3 linked regions of the Astyanax mexicanus genome follow. The protein of the gene in region 3 interacts with the protein of the main gene of each other region in a biochemical or structural test. Links are inferred from orthologs where the notes say so. Each region holds a gene or a part of one and is shown on either strand. Other genes may lie near its edges.

Region 1 (7,984 bases), on a different chromosome or scaffold from region 3:
ATATGGCACATACAGATGTTTACAATAAATTTCAATCAATGCAGAACAGCCTGGTCATTATTACAAGAGAAACTAAAGGAAAAATTAAATCACACACCATGTTCATTCACTCACACTGCTTGTCATTATTCACAGCCTTTATAACACATCACAAACCTGTAACAGCGGCACCAGAGCTTTCAGTGTTCATTGGTTCAGCATCTCCAGAGCTGCTCTCCATTTTAAGGCCCGTCTTGGTGTCCTCCTCAAACTCCTCCTTAAAGACCCAGCCGGACACAGCCAGGGGCAGCTGCACAGGACAGTTCCTCGCTTCGCTTCGCATATGGGGATCATCCAGAAACTGCAGCACATGCATGTGCACACACAAATTTGTGAGTATCTGGCTATTAATATTGTTTTAGATATTAATACTATAATAATTATCATAACTGTTGTTCAGTTTATTTAATTACAGTCCAATTTCTATATTTCATTTTATCTTTTTTATTTTCACTTTATCTGTAATTATGCTTAGATTTATGTTTTTTGTTTCAAAGGCATGACTGGGATGAAACTTAGTGCTTTCTTATTATTTCCAATAATACCAGCACCTTTAGTAACATCCAATCAACCACTTCACATCTATGTATGTCTATTAGAGGTGCGCCATATCGTATTGTACACAATAATACTCATAATTAAAAATAAAACAATTTTGTCCGAGCAGTATTCTGTCTAGAAGCTGTCTGTTTTTTATTTGTATCTGTTTTTCTAAAATTTTTCTTAATATTAATTAAATAATGGGGGGCCCTCATATACAATTGTTAAAAAACCAAAGTATGCAGACTACAGACAAAAACTGTGCCATTTGATTCAGGACTAGACTTAGAAAAAAGTCTACATGTATTCATGTCAGTTTGACTAGTTTTTTCAAAACTTTAGCGTATTTTGAAAAGGTCAAAAGGTCATCTGGAAAAACAAAAAATGTGTGAACTTTCCAATTGAACACTCCTGATAAACAATGACAACATGTGGAAAACCTTTGGCACATTCTAACGAATATGAATGAATATTCTACAAACCTCAACAGATTTGTATATATAAAATTAAGCACTGATTATGTTTTAAGGACTCTGATAAACAATGATAACAGATGAAAGCCTTTTGACCATCTCCAAAATGTGACAGTGTGTCCCAAATTGTATTAGACCTTCTGAAACATCACCAACCTTTACTCTAGTAGGCATCATTGTGCCAGTTTGTGCTTAAACTTAGACTGCCGCTTTTGGCTATATTTTGTTTTATTTTTGTTACAATATTATTATTTTATAAAACGTTTCTGGCCTTTAGAAATTATGAAGACAAATAACTTTTAAAAACATTATCCTTTTAATCACATTTCAGTCTGGACTGCCATTGCTAGATATTTAATTATTTCCCTTTTTGGAATTCATGCCCCATAAGCACACTTACGTTGTCTCTTTCCAGTTTGCGCAGAATCTCTTTGGTCTCCTCCTCAGTCTCCCTCTTCTCCTTCTTAATGTTGATGATGGGGGAGGGGCCAGTGTTGGGCGTTTCTCTTGCATCATCATATACACCTAACAAAGAAACAAAAAGTCAGAAAGCAAGAAAAATGCATGATTCTCTTTTACTGCTGAGAACTACTGGTACTACATAAAGTACACATTCGTGCTTCTTTATTTTTCTTTATTTTTAATGGTCAAATGGTTAAATGGCTGACCTTGTATAGTTAGCATAAAAATGAGTATTTAATTTGGCCCAGCCTGTTTATTAATACTAGTTTAAAGCAGTATTATTCTCCTGGGTTTCCCCTACAGTTGTGAAGTGTAATTCACTTCTATTTCATTGCAGTAAATACAAACTGAGTTTTGTGCTCCCACTCATGAACAGGCTGTACATATGCATTTGTTAATAAGCTGAGAGATACACTGTTGGCATCAGAAGTGATAGAAGCATGTGGAAATAGATGGTAGAGTAATACTAAATTTTTTGTGGTTCTTGTCATTGCATTTCCCCCTGACCTGTATTTTATCATACCTCTCCTCTTGGCCATCATTTCCGCAGGGCCCTGCTCAAAGATAGAGTGGGACTGAATGACCTCTGGGCGACCCCGACCTCTGCCACGCCCGTCTCGCTGCCGCCCTCGATCCGCATCTTTCCTTTCTCTCCTGGGTCCCTCATCAGCTTTCAATCTGCAACAAAACAGCACAGCTACTGTAAAGTAAGGCCAGCTAAGGGTCATTATATTACACTGGAAAAGACATTTGATTGCAATACACTCATGTAAAAACTTACTCTTCTTTACTTTTACGACCAATGATGTTAGGTGTGAATGTTTTCTGTGGGGCAGAACAAGAGAGAGAGCACAGTTGCTTAATACACTGACACTGTTTTTTTTTTTTTTTACCAGTGAAAACAATGCAATCTGGTGTACCTTTTTTACACCTCCCAGTGTGAGGTCTCTTGAGCGCATGGTGGGGAGACGACCGGGAGAGAGAGCAGCAGGCAGCCTGCGGCCAAGCACTGAACCTCTGCCACCACCTCCAGGCTGAGGGGTACGGGGTGGTCCAGAATCACCAGAGCCTGGTGTGGCCATTTTCACACTATAATTACATGCAAAATTTGACATTTAATCATTGCTGTGAATTGTTTAGTGCTTTGCATTACATAGTCAGTACGACAACTATTGTTAATATGGTGTTACATGCTGTGTAAAGTACTGCAGATTCATACTAATATTCCATAATATTCCATAATGGTTACTGATTAGTAAATAAAACAGTACACATACAGCTCATCACTGCTGTCCAATGAAAACCTCCATTTCTGTCTGTTTTATGTTTTGTGAATGACTTGAATCCTGTGGATGCTCTCTACACTGTGTAAATAATTATTGATGAATGGACCAATAGAAATGATCTATTAATGTGGAATGAACTCTTATTTTGCATTGAATTCCATGGAAATTATGAAAATTTTTGCCTTTTGCTGTAAAGTCACAGTTTTGGAGGAACTTGTTTTTTAGCGGACAGCGACAATATTCACACAGGATTACAATCAGGTCACTATTACTGCTGTCAGTGTATATATATTCTCAAGTTACTACAGTCATGCTGGAAAACACATTATATATTTATATTGGCTAAACATAAGACACATATACATATTCATGCTATATTAAAATTACTTTAAAGTTATTACTGTCAAACTGTAGATTCATACTGGATTAACAGTATGGATTATCTATACACTTAAAAACTACAAATTCAAGATAATTACATACTGGATCAGAACCTGTTAATTTTCATTGTGATTAATGTCAAACTTCATAACCCACAAACTGCATATTCAAACTGGCAAAATACACTAAATACACACTAGTTTTAACTACTTAAAATACCCAATATCAATAAGCACAAAATCACCACCATTCCATTTTTTTCATTATTATTATTTTTTTGGCTTTGCTATTGTAAGTCCCTTATTTGTGCCTTTTATTTAAAATATTTCCTGACAGCAGTAAGACGCCACCAAATTAACTGTGCAGACCTCGCTGTTTACACTGTTTTCTCACAGGGACTTTATGTAACCGTTCTGCTACAGGTAACTTAAAAGTGCTGAGCGGCTGCAGTTCCCTCCCTCACTGTAAACACATGGCAACACATGGCTAAACTGCCGGCCGCTCAGCCGCTGAACAGGGAGCCGGCGGGCTAGTTTAGCTCATAATTTACTGCCACTGAAGAAAACGACGAGGTATTTACCTGCGAGCTGCCTGCTGTCCTACCTGAGCTCCTCAGAGTTTCCAAATTAAACCAATAAAAATAAATCTCACGAGACACAAGTTAGAATAGGGCGGAGTTTTAGTAACGACACGAAAGAGGAAGTGACGGAAAACATGTCGGTGCGCTCAAATCGGCATTACCCCTACTCCCTGTTCCCTACTCCCTACTACATACTGCCTACTCTCTAGTCCTTTTTCCTGCTGCCTGTTCCCTACTGACTACTCCCTGTTCCCTACTCTCTACCTCCTGTTTCTTCTTGTTGACTACTCCCTACTGCTTGTTTCCAATTCCAATAGTGCCTCCCTACTGCCTAGTCTCTGTTCCTATCTACTTGTTGGCTACTCCCTGTTCCCTACTCTTTACTCCCTAATGCCTATTTCATACTCCCTATTCCCTACTTCCTATTCTCTACTCCTTAATGCCTACTTCTGTTCCTCACTGTCTACTATGCCTACTCCCCACAAACTGTTCCCTACTCCCTGTTTCCTCTCGCTACTCCCTTTTCCACTAGTCCTTACTCCCTACGTTTTATCAGAAGCATTTTTCAGTTGTGACTATTTTCTGCACATTTTCAATTTCCCCAGTTATATAAAAAATACGGTAAATGGAGCGCATGTGTTAATAAATGGTGGTGAATGAAGCTAAATGGCTTATAATAGTGTCTACTACTTACTACCAGTATATTCTTACTGTTTGTAAAGTATATTACAGTATTTTGCTAAAATTAAGCAAAACATTTTTCTACAACAAATGTTTTTGGTAAACAGAGACACTAGCAATACTGCTACTGTGTGATGACTTGTCTGTGAGCTGACGCTGAAGTAACCGCGTACTGGAGCTTTAAAATTATGTGAAACATTTAATATGGTTCCGTGTTGAGAAATTGAGATTTTTCAATATAAAAATATAAACCATTTACAATCTATGATTTGCTCAATTGCTATGAGCTCATTCATTTGGAATCATTCTGGAGTGCCCTCTAGTGACTGACAAACCCAGAACATATTCTCAAGTGGGTATTGTCTTCTGTAAAAGTAAGTTATATCTCTGAGTATATCTGCATTAAATCGATATTTATAAACTATCGCATAATATATTAGCGGTTTTCCACTACATACATTTCAATCTTTTATATATAACACATGTAATTAATATTTTATGATGTGGAGATTTCCTGTCCAATTATGAAGCCTGTCACACTTGTATTTTGAAAAAGCTTTCAAGCCGGTGGGTCACTTCCTATTCCGGCCAGCTTGGCTCGAGGTAAACAAACTGCACGGTTGATATTTTATAAGTACTTTATTTTTATACCTCTGATGTAAAAACAGTCTAAATACTGATAAATTGACGTCTACTATCCCGCTACCTCGAGCTACAGTTGAAGAGCGCACTGTTTCAGTTAGCTGTATTGTCGCTAACCTGGTTGTACAGGAGCAGCTCTGTTAGCAAGCTAAGCTATGTTAGCTAGCTAAACTAGCTGGAGTGTTTGTACTGCTTGGTTTTTTATGTCTTGCTAACGCTAGCTTAACTAGTTAGTTAAACTGTTTTAATAGTGTTGGTTGTGTTGATGGTAGCTAGCTAAGTGTAATCTTATAATTCTGCTTCATTAAAGCCCCTGAAAACCAAACATGACCCGACACGGGAAGAACTGCACTGCGGGAGCTGTGTACACCTACCACGAGAAGAGGAAAGATACAGGTCTGTTTCTGGCTCCTTTAAAATGTGTAAATGTTTTTTTTTCTCTGTTTGCAGCTTTGCACAAATACAGCTGCAGAAACACAGAACGAGTCCAGAAGGTGTAACAGCTCGACCCAATTCACCAATTTATATTAACTATTAAGACTTTTTTTCAAATTTTAAGCTCCCAAATTTTAAAGTCCTAAAAAGAGTCTATGATTCATGATGTGATTTAAACCACAGAATTGTTCACATGTCTGCTTTTTTAACAGTGGACTCCATTATCCTATAATGTAAACAAATCCCAGTTAAGAAAACACTTGCTAATAATGTGAAAAAAGTGAGCTTTAAGAAGACCTTCCTCCCTGTTCCCTACTTTCTACTCCCTACTCCCTGTTTCCTTCTTCCTACTCTCTGTTCCCTACTTTGTACTTCCTACTCTCTACTTCTTACTCCCTGTTCAATACTCCCTGTTCTCTTCTCCCTACTCCCTGTTCCATACTCCCTATTCCCTGTTACTTGTTCTCTACCTCCTACTCTCAGTTCCTTAGTTCCTACTCCTTGTTCCCTACTTCTTTCTCTCTGTTCTCTACTTCCTACTCCCTATTTCCTACTCTCTACTTCATACTCCCTGTTCCATACTCCCTGTTCACTACTTGCTACTCCCTACTACCTATTTCCTACTTCCTGTTCTTTTTTTATAATTTTCACCGCAATTAAAACATGATGTGGGAGCCAGAACTGTCTTCCTGTTTTGTCTTCTGATGGCCTCTGTCTATTCCCTACAGCTGCTTCTGGATATGGAACTCAGAGTGTGCGCCTGGGGAAAGACGCGATTAAAGATTTCGACTGTTGCTGCCTCTCATTACAGCCCTGCAGAGACCCGGTTGTAACGTAGGTGGACTTTCACAAGTTATAAACTTAAACTTAGATACAGCTAAAACAATATATGGGATTTAACTGAGCATGATGTCTGTATTATTCAGTAGTTAATATGTCTGGATCATTAAGAGTGAAATATGTTGTACAGCTATTTTTTAAAATTAATTTACAGCAGTGGAAACAGGGGTTGCATTGACCTCAACACGAAAACTGGCATTTGATGTACTGTCCAATAAACACTAGTGAATCTGCACCTGTAGAATTACGATTAGTAATAATGCCTTAATATGAAAAGTGATCATAATAAAAATAATAAATTGGATTTTTTTTCATCGTTATTTAATTGCACAGCATTTTACTTGCATGCTAACAATTTTATGTATATATGTATATTATGTTGCAACCTCCACATATTTTATATCTCTATCTTCATGTACAGTATCCAAATAAACGTTTGGACACACCTTAAAGCAAGTTAACAGCAAGTTAACTGCACCACAGATAAAAGCCACCTAAATGCTTCACTATTTTGGTTTTTTTAACACTTATGTTTACTACATGATTCCTTATGTTATCCTTCTTAGTCTGGATAACTTCAGCATTCATTTACAATGTAGGAAAAATCTGAATAAGAAGGTGTGTCCAAATTTAGTCAGGTACTCTATATGTCTCGTATATATTTTATTATATATCTATATATTTATGTTTTATCCTTTCTGTCTTTATCTTGATTTTTAAAAGGTTCCATAATTTCAATGAATTATTAGTCTTTATTTAATATCAATAAAAATAAATAATAATTTAATAAATTTAGAATTTATGTTTTAATAATTTAAAACAATTTAGAAACCTTTACTCTAAAATAACCTAAAATTATTAATTAGACAGTGTTTTTTAAATCTTAGCTTTTCCTATGTAGTTTTCTATTATAATACACAATTGAATTCATAATCACTGTCCTGATATTTCTGGGGTTGTTAAACCAAGGTCCTTTTGTAACATACAAATAAACATCAAAAAGACAAAACAAGATAATTCTCTAGGAGATCTAGATCTTTATTCTCATGTGTCTGTTGCTTTACAGTGAAGATGGATTCCTCTATGAAAGAGAGGCAATACTGGAGTACATTCTCCATCAGAAATTGGATATTGCTAAGAAGATGAAGGTTTGTGAAGGCTTTGACTGCAGCTCAACTCTTTACGTTCTGTATATTATACTACAATCCTTACAATATTAGTATTTATCTCTCCCTCTCTTTTATATGCTTCAACTCCCCAAGGCCTACGAGAAGCAGAAACAGGCTCTGAAGAGTGAGGGACAGCTGGAGTCCTGCTCAGAGGAGAGGGAGAAAGTAGAGAAGTTCAAGAAAAGAGAGGGCAGCATTGTCTCCAAACCAATCAATCCTTTTATTTCAGGTACAAGGGGACAAATTCAGTTCATGTTTGTGTAATACACTTATGTACATTTATGACCTCATATTATTTAATTTATTGTCATGCAGAGGAGTCTATATTCAGTGTTAAAAAGAATTTGTTAAATAAAATAACCACATTTGGTTCCCTAAAGATAAAGGTTTAAAGAAGACTTAAGACAATAGTAGGTAAGTAGGAAAATTAGGGTAATTGGTTTGGTGTAGGGCTGC
Region 2 (7,729 bases), on a different chromosome or scaffold from region 3:
ATTTTGCAGTTGAGCTGATGTGAAATGGGTGTCACCACAGGTGGACCTCGCATCTCAATCCTTAGTTAATTTACTGTGATCTCTGACTGACCTTTACCTATTGCACTATTAGCTTATGTTATCATGATTTAACCCTGTTAGTAGGGTTAGGTTGGTTAGTATTAGTTTGAAATATCACTATGTTAGCCTGTTATATTTGAGTAGCTTATTAGCTCTGATTTATTAATTTGGTACACCAGGCTAAAGTTAGCTTTAGCTTTTTTTGTTTCAAATGTATCAACACACTACATGGACTAAAGTATTAGGGCACCTACATATTACACATACATGAGCTTTTGGCTATGTTCATATTACCAGGCTGAAGAAAAATCTGCTTTTTTTTGCTCAATGTGGCCAATTTTTTTTTTCAAATGAGATTTTAGTCACTTTCATATGGTCCTAAATCACATACCTATTCGATACATTGACATGTGAAATGAATGTGAATGGTCAAATCAGAATTTATGCATCTTTTTCTTTTGTGCATGCCCTATGTGCTTCTCTCTCGTACCCACACTTCTCTTGGTGCAGCTATGGGTGCAAAAACTGCAAAAGCAAACCGCCTGGTTGTTTTTTTTCTCCTCGACCTGAACTGTACTTCAGACCAGCTGTTTGTTCTCCACTCCAGCAAAAGATGCTCCACATATGAGCTGCTAACTCATCCATTTCCCTTTATAAAGCTACGAGTCGCCTCTCAAATATGACGTTTTGTGTTGGTGGTGAAGAAGGCGACGTTTATACACAAATCAGTGTGCGCATGTGAGGTGTTTCAGGGACATATTCATTCACATTACACACAGATACAGGTCACTTACATTTGAGAATGTGAACCGTCAAGATATCTAAATCCAATCTGAGCAAAAAAAAAAAAAAAAAAACGTTTTTGGACAATTTGGTTTGTAATGTGAACGTGGCCTTTAAGACGTCGTCCCCTTCTGAACCCAGAGACATTAATATAGAGTTTACCTTCCCTTTGAAGCTTTAAGAGCATTAGAAACTTCTATGCACTGCCCTCCTCAGCAGTCAGCACATCTGCACTGTACCTGTACATGGTCAGACACATACCGCTCACAGCTGGAAAATCACAGTTATGGAATATTAAGGAGGGAGGACATCCTGGAGTTCAGTCATTTAGACATGTCCCAATACTTTTGTCCATGTATCCTTTTGTGGTTAGTCTTAGACTTAAGGCAAGTCAGATTAGTTTCTCAAATCAGATTTGTTGAGATGACTGTGCATGTCCAGACATTAAAAGCATATCTAAATGAGTTGATAAGTTAACAAGGTCACTGTCGTTACCTAATCTTTGTCGTTCTTATTGGACTCCCCACTTCCATCACTCTGAATTGGATGAAACTGCTGTTTATTACATTGTAAGTGATGCAAAGACAATGATAAAATCAGATTTGATCACCCAGAGACCTATCTTTACAAATCCGAATGCAATTGCATTTTAAACCACTTCCAAATGCAGTTTGGATCCAGTTTTTAAAAAATTATTTCATGTATTTTTTGACTGTCCAGACTGTCAAAAATCAAACTGGTTAGAATTCAGATATACCAAAAATTTGACCTGAACTTTCCCCTCAGAGTATCTCCCAAAGTTGTCAATTATGAAATGTTTTACTATATTCATCCAATAGTGTACAGAGTACAAGAGAAGTAAAATTAGAATTTATCATGTAAGTCTAGCACAAAAACGTCTACTTTAGTTCACTAGCTTGTCAAGCATTCAAAACGAAGAAAGTAAACACAATAGTTTCAGTAAACTTTATACTACTGACTGCGTATTGCTGAACACCCGATCATAAATAAAAGTGTTACTGTTCTAAAACTCTCATGTTTTAAAAAATAACAGGCTGGTTATCTCGCCCACCATAACCATTTAAACCTAAAAGGGAGTCAGCAGCAGTAACAGCAAAAACTGTCCCTGTCCTGTTGCTACTGTCCCGCGACACTCTCCTACTGTCCCGCGACACTCTCCTACTGTCCCGCGACACTCTCCTACTGTCTCGCGACACTCACCTACTGTCCCGAGACACTCTCCTACTGTCTTGCGACACTCTCCTACTGTCCTGCAGAGCTCTTTAACTGTACCGCGGAGGTTTTTAACTGTACCGTGGAGGTTTTTAACTGTACCGTGGAGGTTTTTTAACTATACCGCGGAGGTTTTTAACTGTACCGCAGAGTTTTTTTTAACTGTACCGCGGAGGTTTTTAACTGTTTTAACTGTCCTGCAGAGCTTTTTAACTGTCCTGTGGAGCTTTTAACTGTGCCGCAATGTGATACATTGTGTCTTATCTTAGTTTTTTTGAGACGACTTAAGACTTATGAGATAATTCCCCTAGATTTGACCATCAAATCTATTATATAATATTTCCAGTGTCATAATACAAAGTAGGTGAGTGTCGCGAGACAGTAGGTGAGTGTTGCGGGACAGTACGTGAGTGTCGCGAGACAGTAGGTGAGTGTCGCGGGACAGTACGTGAGTGTCGCGAGACAGTACGTGAGTGTCGCGAGACAGTACGTGAGTGTCGCGAGACAGTACCTGAGTGTCGCGGGACAGTAGGTGGGTGTCGCGAGACAGTACGTGAGTGTCACGGGACAGTAGGTGGGTGTCGCGAGACAGCAGCAACAGGACAGGGACAGTTTTTGCTCTTACTGCCTCTCAAGGGAGTCATACAACCTGATAATGTCTTAGATCAAGTCCAGAATTAATAGGTTTATAAAAACCTTTAGTAGGACATTTTTGTTTATTATTGGTAATTATTTTAATACTGCTCTCAAATTTTCCACACAAAAGCATCAAACAATTCAGCTCTTTTTCAGGTTTTTAAACTTAAACTATAACCGATTATTATTTCTGTATTTACTAAGTACTGCACATTTATTTACTGGTCTCAGATATGAGACTCGAAACAAGTGGAGCAGAAAGTTTGTGAGGATTACAGTGAGCGCCCCTTATTAGATCGGACCAGGGGATTATGGGAAAGTAGCAGCCAACGGGTTTAAGCCCTCATTTGCCAAGCAGAAAGGAAAACCCTGAGAACAACAAGCACCTAATTAATAATCACTCAGTAATTAATACTGGTAATTAAGCATCCAATCATTAATAATGATCAGACTGTACTTTGGGTGTACTATGGAGGACATCTTGTATACAATAACAGCAACTGTACAAATGGAAACTATGAGCCAAAACTTTACAGCCTCTCTGACTGTGGCCCAGAGCTGCTGTTTATTGAGGAGCACGCCAGTCAGAGCAGAGGTGCTCTGGTACCTTCTGTCAGACAGCATCACTAATTAAAAAGGTTCTGTAGGGGATTGAGGAGAGTTTTTATAATAGTGATGGCTTTGCCGATTTGGTGTGTGGTGTAAATATCAGGCCCGTTGCAACAAGGCAAGAAAAACCAATCAATTGTCTAGGGCCCTGAGACATTGACTGGTTATGATGATTCTGTGATGGTCACTGCAGGAAAGTACAATGACACTGATACCGGAATCCCCCTCAAGGGGCCCTTCCACTAGTTGCTGACAGTAATCATCCAGCCAGGTTTGTGATTCCTGCAGCTGGCAAAAAATGCATTTTGCTTGGGACCCCCAAAAATGGCCCTCTGTTTAGGATGGAGAGGATGGAGACTAAAGACGATCTCAGCTGTCCTCAATATTAGATTAGGTTATAGGTTATATAGGTTATAGGACAGAGATGCTGTGATTCTACAGTCCTTCTGTAAAATATAGGGATGATTCCTCAGTCTGAGCTTTCTTCAGTCTTTACAAGATGTTGCTGGGCTTTCTTGGCTATGAATTTGGGATTGAGGTAGGTACCCGGTGAAATTATCTGCAGGGTGAGCACAGAGCAACATGTTAAAGATTCTTGAAGTTACCCTGTTAATATTATGATCCAATAATTAACAGAAAAAATCACATCGAAATAATAACAAAATATTAAATAAATAACATTAATATTAACACATGAACACGTATTTATCCCAAAACAGCCAATGATGATTTGAGCCTTTAAAAGATGTGTAAAGTTACTTAAAGCACTTTGTCCTTCACTTAAACTCATGAAGTTCCTAAGTGATGCATACTGAACCTTCTGGGAGCATTACAGTAGAGTGTGTAGATGTGTGCTTGTTTATCTGGTCTTATTTACAGAATGTAGGAGTGCTGGGTTAGTTCTGGAGGTAGTTAGTTCTAGCTTCATCATATAGTAAAAAGTGTATATAACTGGTGCTGATATTATTTCTAGAATAAAATGTTAAAATACAACTTATGACATTGTTGTACTGTTTATGTTTTATTGGAATGTTAACCATAAAATATTAAAAGTTTAGTGTTTTTTATTAATTACAATAAGAAAAAAACACGAATGAGCTGCTCAATTAATTTAACCGATTACATTTTTCATTTTAGATCAATATTCAGAACTGAGTCTGGGCTTTGATGGGTTAATTCACTAATTTATTCCTAAATAAATTATATTAAAATAATAAAATAAAAAATGTTCTGAAGAACCTGTCCTCATCTGGAGAGCGCGCATGCTGAGTCACGGGAGCGCGCAGGAGGGGTGTACGGGTATTTTATATATTTATTTATTTAAAGTGCAGCGCGCATGCGCGTGATCGTACCGCGGGAGTCTCGCGGGCCTTTCTTTTCCCTCCGCACGCGGGGCAGAGTGCGAACTGCTGGAACAGAGGAGCAGAGCACGCGGAACGACAAACAACAAACAGGCGAGGAAACAAACAACCGGCCAAGTGCGGAGAGCCGAGCGAGAGACGGGGGAAAGAGAGAGCGGGGCATTTCCGAGAGTTCCACTGTTTCATCTGCAGCGCGTTAGCCCCTCTCTTGTAGCCCGAGTGTGAGGTGTTAATCCGGGATGGAGCTGATAACGATCCTCGAGAAAACCGTCTCTCCAGGTGCCGCTTTAATCTCTAAACACCCTGTGCTGTTCCTCCCAGGCTGGCTGCAGTTCCGCTGCCTCAGTTCTGGGGGAAGATTGTCTAAAATGCTCTGAAATGCTGGCTGACAGGCTGGGTTCGGGCTAGGCACCGCTAGCAAGGCGGCTAACTCTATGCTAGCCAGCTATGTTAGCATGCTATGGGCCCAGCTGGGACGCCGCTGAAGTTAGCGCTCTTTCTAACTCTCAGTTCCACCTTAAACGTCGTATCGCAGCGCCACAGTGAACCTGCGGCACGGGTTTTAAGGTGGACTGAAAACTCGAACGGCGGATACCTAGTTGGATTCAACTTTAGCGACTTCCTTCAGCTCACAGTGTGCTGTATGCTGATTTTATATATGATATATATGGTTTAACTCGTTAATAAATAGAAAGGTCGTAACGTAGGGTCGGGGCGGTGATGTAGTGTGGGGCGGGTGTTGAAAAATGCGCGGTTAGCTGTCAGCTTTTAGCGTTTACCGGCCCGTTAGCTCGCTAGCTTAGCTAACCAAGCTAGCGTTAGGTTGGCTAGCTAACTCGGCGCGGGTTTTTTGGCTGATTTTGTGAGCCGTTTGAGTCCGTACTGGGTCCATAAACACCCACGTAAACGTTTTAGTGCGTTTTCTGTGTGTGTAAAGTGTATATAAATTAACAAAAGTGGCGTTATTTACTAAAGAATTTCGTTTTGGTAAGTTTGTCGGTTGCTAACCCGTCAGAAGTTGGCGATAGCTCAGTTAGCCGTAAGACTAGCTTAGCGTTAGCTAGAGAGCGCTAAAATCTAGCTAGCCGGCTCATTAAAAGTTTATAGGTTTATAGCCGCGCAGATCTCGGGGAATAAAAAAAGATCAGTAGCTTAATTCGCACATATAGGTGAGATATCGCGTCTGTGCCGATTATTATGTGTTTTTAACGCTGAAATTGGGCTAGAGTTGGCCGGTATTGCAGGCTGGGTTGGACCGGTATGTTAGCGGATACCGGGACTGGTTCTCTTCATGCCCGGCGGGAGGGAGTGGTAGCTACATCTTAAAAGGGGAGGTTCACGTTAGCTAGCGTTAACTTACACGGCTTTAGCTAGTTAACTAGTAGAGTTATAGCTAGATATAAACTTTCTACTTTTTAATAATTTTTGTTGTGCGTTTACTGTGTCTCTCCAACTTTAACTGTGTACACCGGTTGGTTTGCTGAAGCTTCATTTACAGTCTGTCATTTTCCTCAGATCAAAATGAGCTGGAGGCGGCGCAGAAGTTTTTGGAGCAGGCAGCGATTGAAAATCTGGTAAGTTTCGTGAAGCTTTATTTCTTCTGGTTTAAATTCGAGCAGACTGATGAAGGCTTGACTGCAGTGAGCACTGGTCTCTCTCTCTCTCTCTCTCTCTCTCTCTCTCTCTCTCTCTCTCTCTCTCTCTCTCTCTCTCTCTCTCTCTCTCTCTCCTCCACACGTTGCCCTGAATGGAGCAGCTCACCGTTAGCAGGCCACTGGGCCTCTGTAACTCCCGTATCACTGATTGTTAATCCCTTGATTTAAACGGCGAGTCCTGCCGCAAATGCCTGCACAGCTGTGTGCATTACACCATGTTACAGGTCCAGATAAACCGGTCAGACAGTAAGCCAGTTTGCTTTATATGTACTGCTGTATAGTAAACATTATATACGACACAAGATTGATAAGATTCAAATTGAGTAAATAAACTGATATTTATTTTTAAACGATACTGTAAAGCTGTACTGAATCTTGGCTCATTTAATGCCTCCTAAAGCTACAGATGTGTAAAAATCAGACGTATCCCTCCAATTCTTTGACTTTGTTCCTACTTGACAGTTGCATTCTGACCAGAGCAATATAATTCACCTACATTTATCTGATATCATACTATTGATTGGTTTGGTGGATTGAATTTGATCTCAATGCAGCCTAGTTATTTTATTGCCATCGGTGCTGTGAGATTTATGCCTGACCGTGGAAAGTTAATTGTAAAAAAACAGGCAGGTTATTTACACATGAGCTTGTTCTCTAAGATTAGTTCCAGGGATTGCACTGTACAGCCAAGGAGTTTGTCTCCCTAACAACATATCTGAAGTTCAATTATTTGTATCAGTGTTGTAACAAAGCAACTTAGTCCCAGCCCTTTTTTGAGTGAACCAGTCATTAGCAAGTGACAAACTCCCTCATAGGAAGAAGAGATTTTTTTTTTTTTTTACATGGAGCAGCCAAGTGTTGTCTTAATATTTAGCTTTTTTTAAAAATAACTATGTGCATTACAATTGTTTGCTTTACTAAAATAAGTTATGAAGTACTATAAGTGTTGTACTAAATTCAGTATTTCACACAATGAGTTTTATGAAACAGGACTATATAATTGTGCTATATAATATCTGCAGCTGGCTGGTGTTTCAGCTGTAAGGAAAATATTGCAATGTACTCAAAGCTTAATGCAACAACTTATTGTCATAACTATGCCTATGTTACCCTGTTAATTTGAATTTAGTCAGCCCAAATAGTAGGGGCTTCTGTTATGTTGCCACTAAAATGTTTGTTATATTTAATTTTTGTTAACTTTGTGTTCTTCCTTCTTCTCTTCAGCCCACTTTCTTGGTGGAGCTCTCCAAGGTGTTGGCTAATCCTGGAAACACCCAGGTAGCCAGAGTCGCTGCCGGGCTGCAGGTGAAAAACTCCCTCACGTCCAAGGACCCTGATGTGAAAGCGCAGTACCAGCAGAGATGGCTGGCCATCGATGGCAATGCTCGCAGG
Region 3 (7,568 bases):
GGCTCATAAAAATATCTGAATTTTAATAAGGAGAACAGCATTTTAATAGCTGGTATTCCAGGTTCAGCATGCTGTTACTGTGTGATGCAACATTGGAATTGTGCAGGATCCTGTTTGTGTAAAATCCTGCATTACACCATATCACACAAATTTGTGAGTAAAGCGTGACTGGCTTGGTTTAAACTGTAAATTACACATGACGGTTTGGGGAGTATGAAATCAAGAAATTAAATATTACTGCTTTAAACTATACCTTGAGCTAATTGTAGGAATTTTGTATATATTTAATTTACTTTTGCTCAGTCCATCATTAAATAAACTTACGTAATTAAAGTAAAAATACATTTAACTGTTATTCTTAAAATTGTGTTTTACTCAATTTAACATGTAAAAAGAGAAAAACAGAAATAAATGTATTTTTAAATGTATAAAAATGTCAAAAGTAAATGTTTTAATTAACTTTAAATCTTGAAAAAAAATCACATTATCACATGCTGTTTTTTACTTTTTATGCCCATATTTTATAACGAACCAATACAAATGGTTTAAAATGACATGTTTTTACTGTGACCTTCATTGTGAACATGGTTATTTCTTTTGTCTGTAAAGATGGCATATTTAAATTTAAAATATTTAAAAAAAGAGAGAGAAAAGTCTATGTGTGTATGACATCTGTAATTTATAACTTTGTACTGTGGACCAAAAGTAGATGTAAATGTACATGTAAAGTAGTAGTAAAACTTTTGAAGCAGCTTCAGAGAGAGATAGACAAAAAGCTGTTCAGGATAAAACGTGAGTGTGACCCATGACCCGGCCGTCTCAACTGATCTCTACAACAATCACGCTGCTGTGATCAGCACATACTATAAAAGCTCCAACACAACCACAGCAGAAGATGAGTAGAAACTGTTCATTCATTTGTTTAGAAGTGCAGAGAGCCCCACATCAGCAAGTTACAAGATATGATAAGGATACAGCCCTTGGTAAAGATGCCCTATGACCCCCCACACAGAAAGAGATAGAGACTTATACAGCTCCAAACATCTCCTGCTATTTGTTTATAGCAATTTACCTTGTGTAAATTATGTTTTATATATATATATATTTTTTTAAAGTTCATCAGAGGGGCACTGATGAATAATTCATAATCTTTTGCCAATATAAAGAGACCCCCCCACACACTCTTTTTTACCAGGATTAGATGGATCTGGGTTGAAGCTGACAGCTGATGTTCTCAGTCCACGGACAGATGCGAGTCCTCCATGGCAGTAAACGGAGAAAACTGGTTTAATTGCAGCACTGATGCGCCGCAAAGCTGGAAACACTGTCATTTCTATTGGGGTCTCTCTGCAAACTATGGTCCACAGGCCACAGAGCGCAGAGACCGACTGCTTTATAGCGCAGTGTGAATGCTGCCCCCTAGCGTCTGTTAATAGTTAACGTGAACAAGACATCCCCCTGACCTAAGATAAGGATACTAATACACACACACTGCTTTTAATGAGCAACAGTACATTCTGACTATTGGCCACCACCTATTAGGGTTCAACTAAGACAACCTTCCAGACAAAAACATGCTGCTGAGATAAATATATATTAAAATATACAGGACCAGTAAACTCACCTTCCATTCAGTGTTTTTCTTTATTTTCCTTATTTAATATATTTTCTACATTGTACAATAATTTCAAAGACATCAAAACAATTAAGGGACATGTATGGAATTATGTAGTAAACAAAAAGTGTTTGTCCTTCACATTCCCCTGACCTAATTTTAAAGAAAAAAAAATGTTTGAGAATAAGCCATCTAAAAATAGAACATATATGCTATAAAGCAGCATACATTAGACACCGCCTATTTTTAAACTGACCTGATTTAGCATCACTGGGTAGCCAGCCCACTCTGAGGAAAGCGCACCTCCCAAGCTTTGATACATCAGCCAACAGATGCCTTTGCTGACCAACATCACACTAGCATGACCAACTGTGCTTTCTTAGAGTACAGTTGTTAAAACAAACAGCATGCTCTGGGATTTAAACTAACATTTCTCTGAGCATAGTGACATGAAACACTTGCTTTTTAAGTTAATAATAAACAATTTATTGGGTTCCTGAATGGTGCAGACATCTAAGGATTAGACCTATCACATAGAACTGTTGGCCTTTAATGGTATTAAAACGCTCTGTGGACTAGGTTTTGGGTATAATTTCTTTAGACATGCATGCCAGTGATTTTAAATTTACAAAAGGTAAATGTTTTTATTATACTGCATACTTTCACCTTCATGTTTTTCCACTGTTTGCCTGATTTAATCATCATTCAAAGAAGATAAATTAGAAACTGAAATCAAGGTGAATTGATAAGCTCTGGCTGTAAAAAGGTCTGAGAGTTCCATATCTATTAAAACACTGATTTACTACTAATACATAAACTATAAATTATGACGGGTGGGACGGGTAAACATTCTTAGTAAACATGGCTCACGCTGCCACCAAAATACATTTGCAATAATTTGTAATAATAATAATAATTTTTGGATGTTGGATTGAACAGTGCTCCTTGGGATGCTTAAAGCATGGGATATGTTTTTATAATCTAACCCTGCTTTAAGCCTCTCTATAACTTTATCTCTGACCTGTCTGGTGAGTTTCTTGGTCTTTATAATGCTGTTTGTCCACTAGTGTTCTCTAACAAACCACTGAGGCCTCGACAGAACAGTTGTATTTATACTGAGACTAAATTACACACAGCTGCACTCTAACTTATTCAGTGACTTCTGATGCCAATTGATTGCACTGGATTTTATTTAGGGGTACAGAGTAAAGAAGGCTGGATACTTTTCATATTTTTCTTTTATAAAATTTAAAAAACAATGTATTATTTTCATTTCACTTCACAATTATGTGCTACTTTGTATTGGTTTATTACTTAAAATCTCTATAAAATACATTTAAGTTTGTTGTTGTAACGTGAAAAAAATGTGAAAAAGTTCAAGTGCTATATAAAGATTTTTCAGTTTCAAGTGCTAATAAAACATTACAGAAATAACACTGCACTTTATATAAAAACCCATTTAAGCATTGAATTCATTTAGTGCTTTTAAAAATTATCCTTCTGTTTTGAAAGGGTGTTAAACTGAATTCACCTTAAAATACAATAATTAGATGAAACATATATTAATGCAGTGTTTTATTTATTTTATTACATTTTAAGAATGTTTATTAACAATATACAATTATGGCCCTAACATAAACAAATAATATACACAAAGAAATTGTGTCATTTTACAGTTACAAATTGTTAAATTAGGTATGGTATTTTCTCGTAATTTTATGGGAATTGTTTGGCAACTTTTGTCCTAGTGTTAATATTAAATCCCATCATGTGCTACACTGTACAGCTCAATTTTCTGCCTCTAAAATATATTTTTCTGTTAAAATAAAATCCAGTTTTCCATCAGACACCTTTAACACACCGCACTACTCGTGTAGGTTAGTGGCACCATCTAGCGGTTATAAAACTCAATGATAACACCAAACATATATTTAAAACGTATATTTACACTGCCTGGACAAAAAAGGTCGCCACCAAAAACAAAAGGTCATACAGTCTATTATTAGGTTGGACCGTCTTTAGCTTTGATTGCGGCACGCGTTCGCTGTGCCATTGTTTCAATAAGCTTCTGCAATGTCACAAGATTAATTTTAGTCCAGTGTTGCATTATTTTTTTTACCAAGGTCTTGCACTGATCTTCTCCAGCACATCCCAAATATTCTCAGTGGGATTAAGGTCTGGACTCTGTGGTGGCCAATCCATGTGTGAAAATGATGACCTCATGCTCCCTAAACCACTCTTTCACAATTCCAGCAAGATGAATCCCAAAAATCAATATTTAGTGGAATAACCCTGGTTTTTAATCACAGATTTCATACATCTTGACATGTTCTCCTCCACCAGTCTTACACGCTGCTTTTGGATAACGTTTTGCCACTCCTGATGTAAAAATTCAAGCAGTTTAGCTTGGTTTGATGGCTTGTAATCATCCATCTTCCTGTTTATTTTAGAGGTTTTCAATTTGGTAAATCAAAGAAACTTAAAATTTTAAATGATCTCTTATTTTCCCCCAGAGCTGTATATATAACATTCATACAGGTTAAATATGCAGTTTAAAAAAGCTGCTACAAGTCGGCAGAAAAAGAATTACTTCAGTAAAGTATAGATAACCTAAAAAATATTTGTACTTAGTTACTTGACACCTCTGGGAATATGCACACTTTACATGCATAAAAACTGAAAGTCTTCGGGCAACCCCAGGCGGGACCAAGACGGCCAGTTCTTCTTGTAAATCAGTAGAGAAGTTTTAATAAAAGCTGGTTCTATCAGTATGCACGGTTAGAATACAGCATATAGAGAGACGCAGTGTTTTACTGTGCTTGTTGGCTTTTTTGTAAAGCGGGTTACATTTTAAACCAGCGTTTTATTAATATACAGCAACGCGCATGCGCAGGTCGAGCTCAGACCTCCGCAGTCACACATGCGCAGTAGTGCAATACCGGTCAGACGCTCCGGATCAGCAGCCCAAACCGACGACGGGGTAAACGGGGACGGCTTTTAAACAGGTCAGTGTCATAAGAAGGCAAAAATTTTTGACCGAGGTCATATATTTAGACACGAGCCGCGTTCGGTACCGGACAGACAGCTTCAGAAAATCGGATTCAAGAGGGAGAGGAGAGAGCAACCGGCGAGGCGGCTCCGTTCGGCTGATTGTGGCGCATGCGCACACCGGGGCCGCGGGGCTTTATTCTCGAAAAAGCTGAACATCGAGTCCAGCAAGGCTGGAAACACATTTCTGTAGTTTTATATTTAATCCACTATAGTTTAGTTCATCTACCTACAGGTGTAGCCACTTTTAATGATGTCGATGGTGACAGTTAGGCTTTAGTACTGATTTAGATCAGATTCCACATTGATAAGACCTTTTTTAATTGAGACCGCAGATTAGCCGTTATTTTGTATCAGTTAGATTGTTTTTCCAATCCTTCACAAACTCTTAAAAACTAGCTCGGTAGCTAACAGTTAGCAAGCGTAGGTACATTTGCCTTCTCATTTATTTTGTATGCCTTTTTCTAGCTAACGTTACCTTGCTAGCTAGCTAACTGCGCTAACTAGGCTGTCTAGCTAACGTTACAGTTTTCTTTATGTCATTATATAACATAGCTTTAGCTATCTAACGCTAGGTTATCTAACCTATCTAGTTATATTTTTCATGATATTTTGTTTACTTGTAATAATTTTACATAGGTTAGCTAAATAATTAGGTTTAAAAGTCCGTTAGGTCGCTGTGTTTTTAAGATATCTAATCTATGTTAGCTAATGCTAGCTTTTACCATCTATTAAATGTTGCCCTCTTAGCTAGATAACTAACATATATGTTAAGCTGCCTGGGTTGCTAGCTGTGTCCTTACTCGTTTTATCACTTTTTTATATATTATGCATATACTGTCACACAAATTGTAACTCGAATTAGCACACATTTCCTAGCCAAACATCCCTCTAAGGTGGTCATGTCTGCCCCATGGACGTCATCCACTGTGGCTGTGAGTGTGTGTGTGTGGGGGGGGCAGATTAGCGTCAGCTGGCGAGGCTAAGCTACGATAGCTTTAGCGACGGTTGTTTATGTAGTTAGGTCAGCAGGGCTGATGGTCTGTCTCTGACTGTTGGTGCTGGGGTTAACCAGCAGTTTAGGAGAAATACCGCACTGAATTGGCGTCATCGAATTCAAGCGTAGTGTCAAAGTCTACATAGATACCTGTAAGTCTTTTCTTGGCTTTATTTTTCCTTTTTATGATCTATACCTTTGTTATTTGTGAAACATAAATAACGTGTTACTGTCTCCAGCTCCTACTGTTCAGTTGACAACCGTTGCTGGACAATTTTCTGACTTTGTTGATCTAAGATTTGGTTGCTTCTGAGGTCACTACACACCACTAACGTTACACTTGTTGTCGTGTAATAGAGTATTTTTGTGCTTCATGCTAAATTTTTGCACCAGGAGTGGCATAAAGTTCTCCAAAAGCAACGTGTAAGACGGGTGGAGGAGAACATGCCAAGAATGCATAAAAATTGCATTAAAACCAGGGATATTCCACCAAATGTGGATTTCTGAACTATTTCTATGTCATGTGGTCTGAGAATGAGGTCTGAAAGGTCTGCATATTTTGTTCTTGTTATTTCAGCCATTTTTATTTTTTTGCAAATAAATGCACTAAATGACAATATTTTTATTTGGAATTTAGAAGAAATGTTGTCCGTAGTTTATAGAATAAAACCACAATGTTCATATACTCAAACATAATTAAACCACATTAAATTCAGAAAATGATTTATTAAACTGAAATTGAGGGAATAGTAATAACCTCACTTTAAATATTTTAGAGTGTAACATTTGCCAGTAGGGTCCACTTGACAGAAGAGGAAAAAAAAAAAAACTAAACAGAAATCTGTAAAGATTTTTGCAACCCTGGATATAAGGGACAGTTCTCCTTATTAAGAAATGAATAAAGCCCAAATGCTTGCAAAGCATTTAAATTTGAAAAATTCCAATGAAAGAAAAATATAATCTGTGAACAAACTTAATCCCTCTTCAGCAAACAGTCTCTAGATATGTTCTTCAGTTGTAGCAGTGTCAACATACTAAGTGTTTAGATTCATGGGTAATGTAATCTGTTATTGTCTACTGTTTTACCAAAACTTGTAAAGTAATGTTCCTTTGCCAGTATCTCAAACCATTCCTATTTCTTGAGCATTAATTAGGTCTGGTCTTGGACTAAATTGCAATATCTTTAGTGATTCTTTGTTGAAAATAGGAATAATGTTGGTCGGGGAATCACAACACTGTCCCTCAGGATGCTAAATGTTTACTGAGAAAATTACAGGCTTTTCAAAAAGGTATGTTTAGGGGGTTGTATAAAGCAACGTGTAAACCAGTAGAAAACCAGAACCAGGAGCAGTAGAAAACATAACCTGAATTATTTTGCTCACTGGCAGTCTCACCATTCTTTGTGTTGTTTGCAAGAAATGTGGAACACCCTTTAGGATTTAGTTGTTGATCTGCAAAGGCCTAGGATTAGGCCCAAATGTGAGGAAGAGAGGGCAAAATTGTTGCCAGGTGGGTCAGAAATATTTAATATGTGAAACATTAAAACATTAAAAGCATATTGTGAATGCACTCACCACTTAAAACAGTAGGGGAAATTCTAATAATCTGTTTTTTTGTATTCATGGATGTAATGCATTGAATAACCATATTTTTTTGTTTATTTATTATTAACTATGGGCCTGTCAGGATATTTACGTTGAATCATACAGTACATTGAAAACCTCACACTTTTCTGACCTTAGAATCTTCCTCTGTGTTTCCTTGCGTGTTTGTTTACATACAAATAAACATTACAAATAAATATTAATACTTTATTTAGCCAGCCACAAAAGACCAATGCATAAAACAATGTCCCATAAAAGTATACTATGATAAATTGAAAGTTCAGTGCCCTTTAAAGAGGTGGAT

What was found.
Region 1: the proteins of kpna1 (region 3) and nitric oxide synthase-interacting protein form a complex in vitro, tested with the Homo sapiens proteins (2 studies listed by BioGRID). The link is inferred for Astyanax mexicanus from reciprocal best matches to the Homo sapiens genes KPNA1 and NOSIP.
Region 2: the proteins of kpna1 (region 3) and kpnb1 form a complex in vitro, tested with the Homo sapiens proteins (6 studies listed by BioGRID and IntAct, with this or other methods). The link is inferred for Astyanax mexicanus from reciprocal best matches to the Homo sapiens genes KPNA1 and KPNB1.

Annotation. Positions count from the first base shown.
Region 1 is NC_064426.1:19,991,506-19,999,489, reverse strand, and holds the start of nitric oxide synthase-interacting protein, read left to right. Parts: upstream 1-4,951; 5' UTR 4,952-5,045; intron 5,046-5,075; exon of another isoform or gene 5,076-5,180; intron 5,181-5,394; 5' UTR 5,395-5,410; coding exon 5,411-5,480; intron 5,481-6,247; coding exon 6,248-6,353; intron 6,354-7,425; coding exon 7,426-7,507; intron 7,508-7,621; coding exon 7,622-7,757; intron 7,758-7,984. Other genes in the region: polr3d (DNA-directed RNA polymerase III subunit RPC4), read right to left, coding at 157-340, 1,453-1,577, 2,038-2,192, 2,296-2,339, 2,435-2,596. UniProt on the Homo sapiens protein: E3 ubiquitin-protein ligase that is essential for proper development of the forebrain, the eye, and the face. Catalyzes monoubiquitination of serine/threonine-protein phosphatase 2A (PP2A) catalytic subunit PPP2CA/PPP2CB.
Region 2 is NC_064410.1:32,300,469-32,308,197, forward strand, and holds the start of kpnb1 (importin subunit beta-1), read left to right. Parts: upstream 1-4,666; 5' UTR 4,667-4,921; coding exon 4,922-4,961; intron 4,962-6,197; coding exon 6,198-6,256; intron 6,257-7,561; coding exon 7,562-7,729.
Region 3 is NC_064408.1:95,811,417-95,818,984, reverse strand, and holds the start of kpna1 (importin subunit alpha-5), read left to right. Parts: upstream 1-4,497; 5' UTR 4,498-4,620; intron 4,621-5,238; exon of another isoform or gene 5,239-5,812; intron 5,813-7,568. Other genes in the region: si:ch211-161h7.8 (thiosulfate:glutathione sulfurtransferase), read right to left, coding at 1,193-1,331. UniProt on the Homo sapiens protein: Functions in nuclear protein import as an adapter protein for nuclear receptor KPNB1. Binds specifically and directly to substrates containing either a simple or bipartite NLS motif.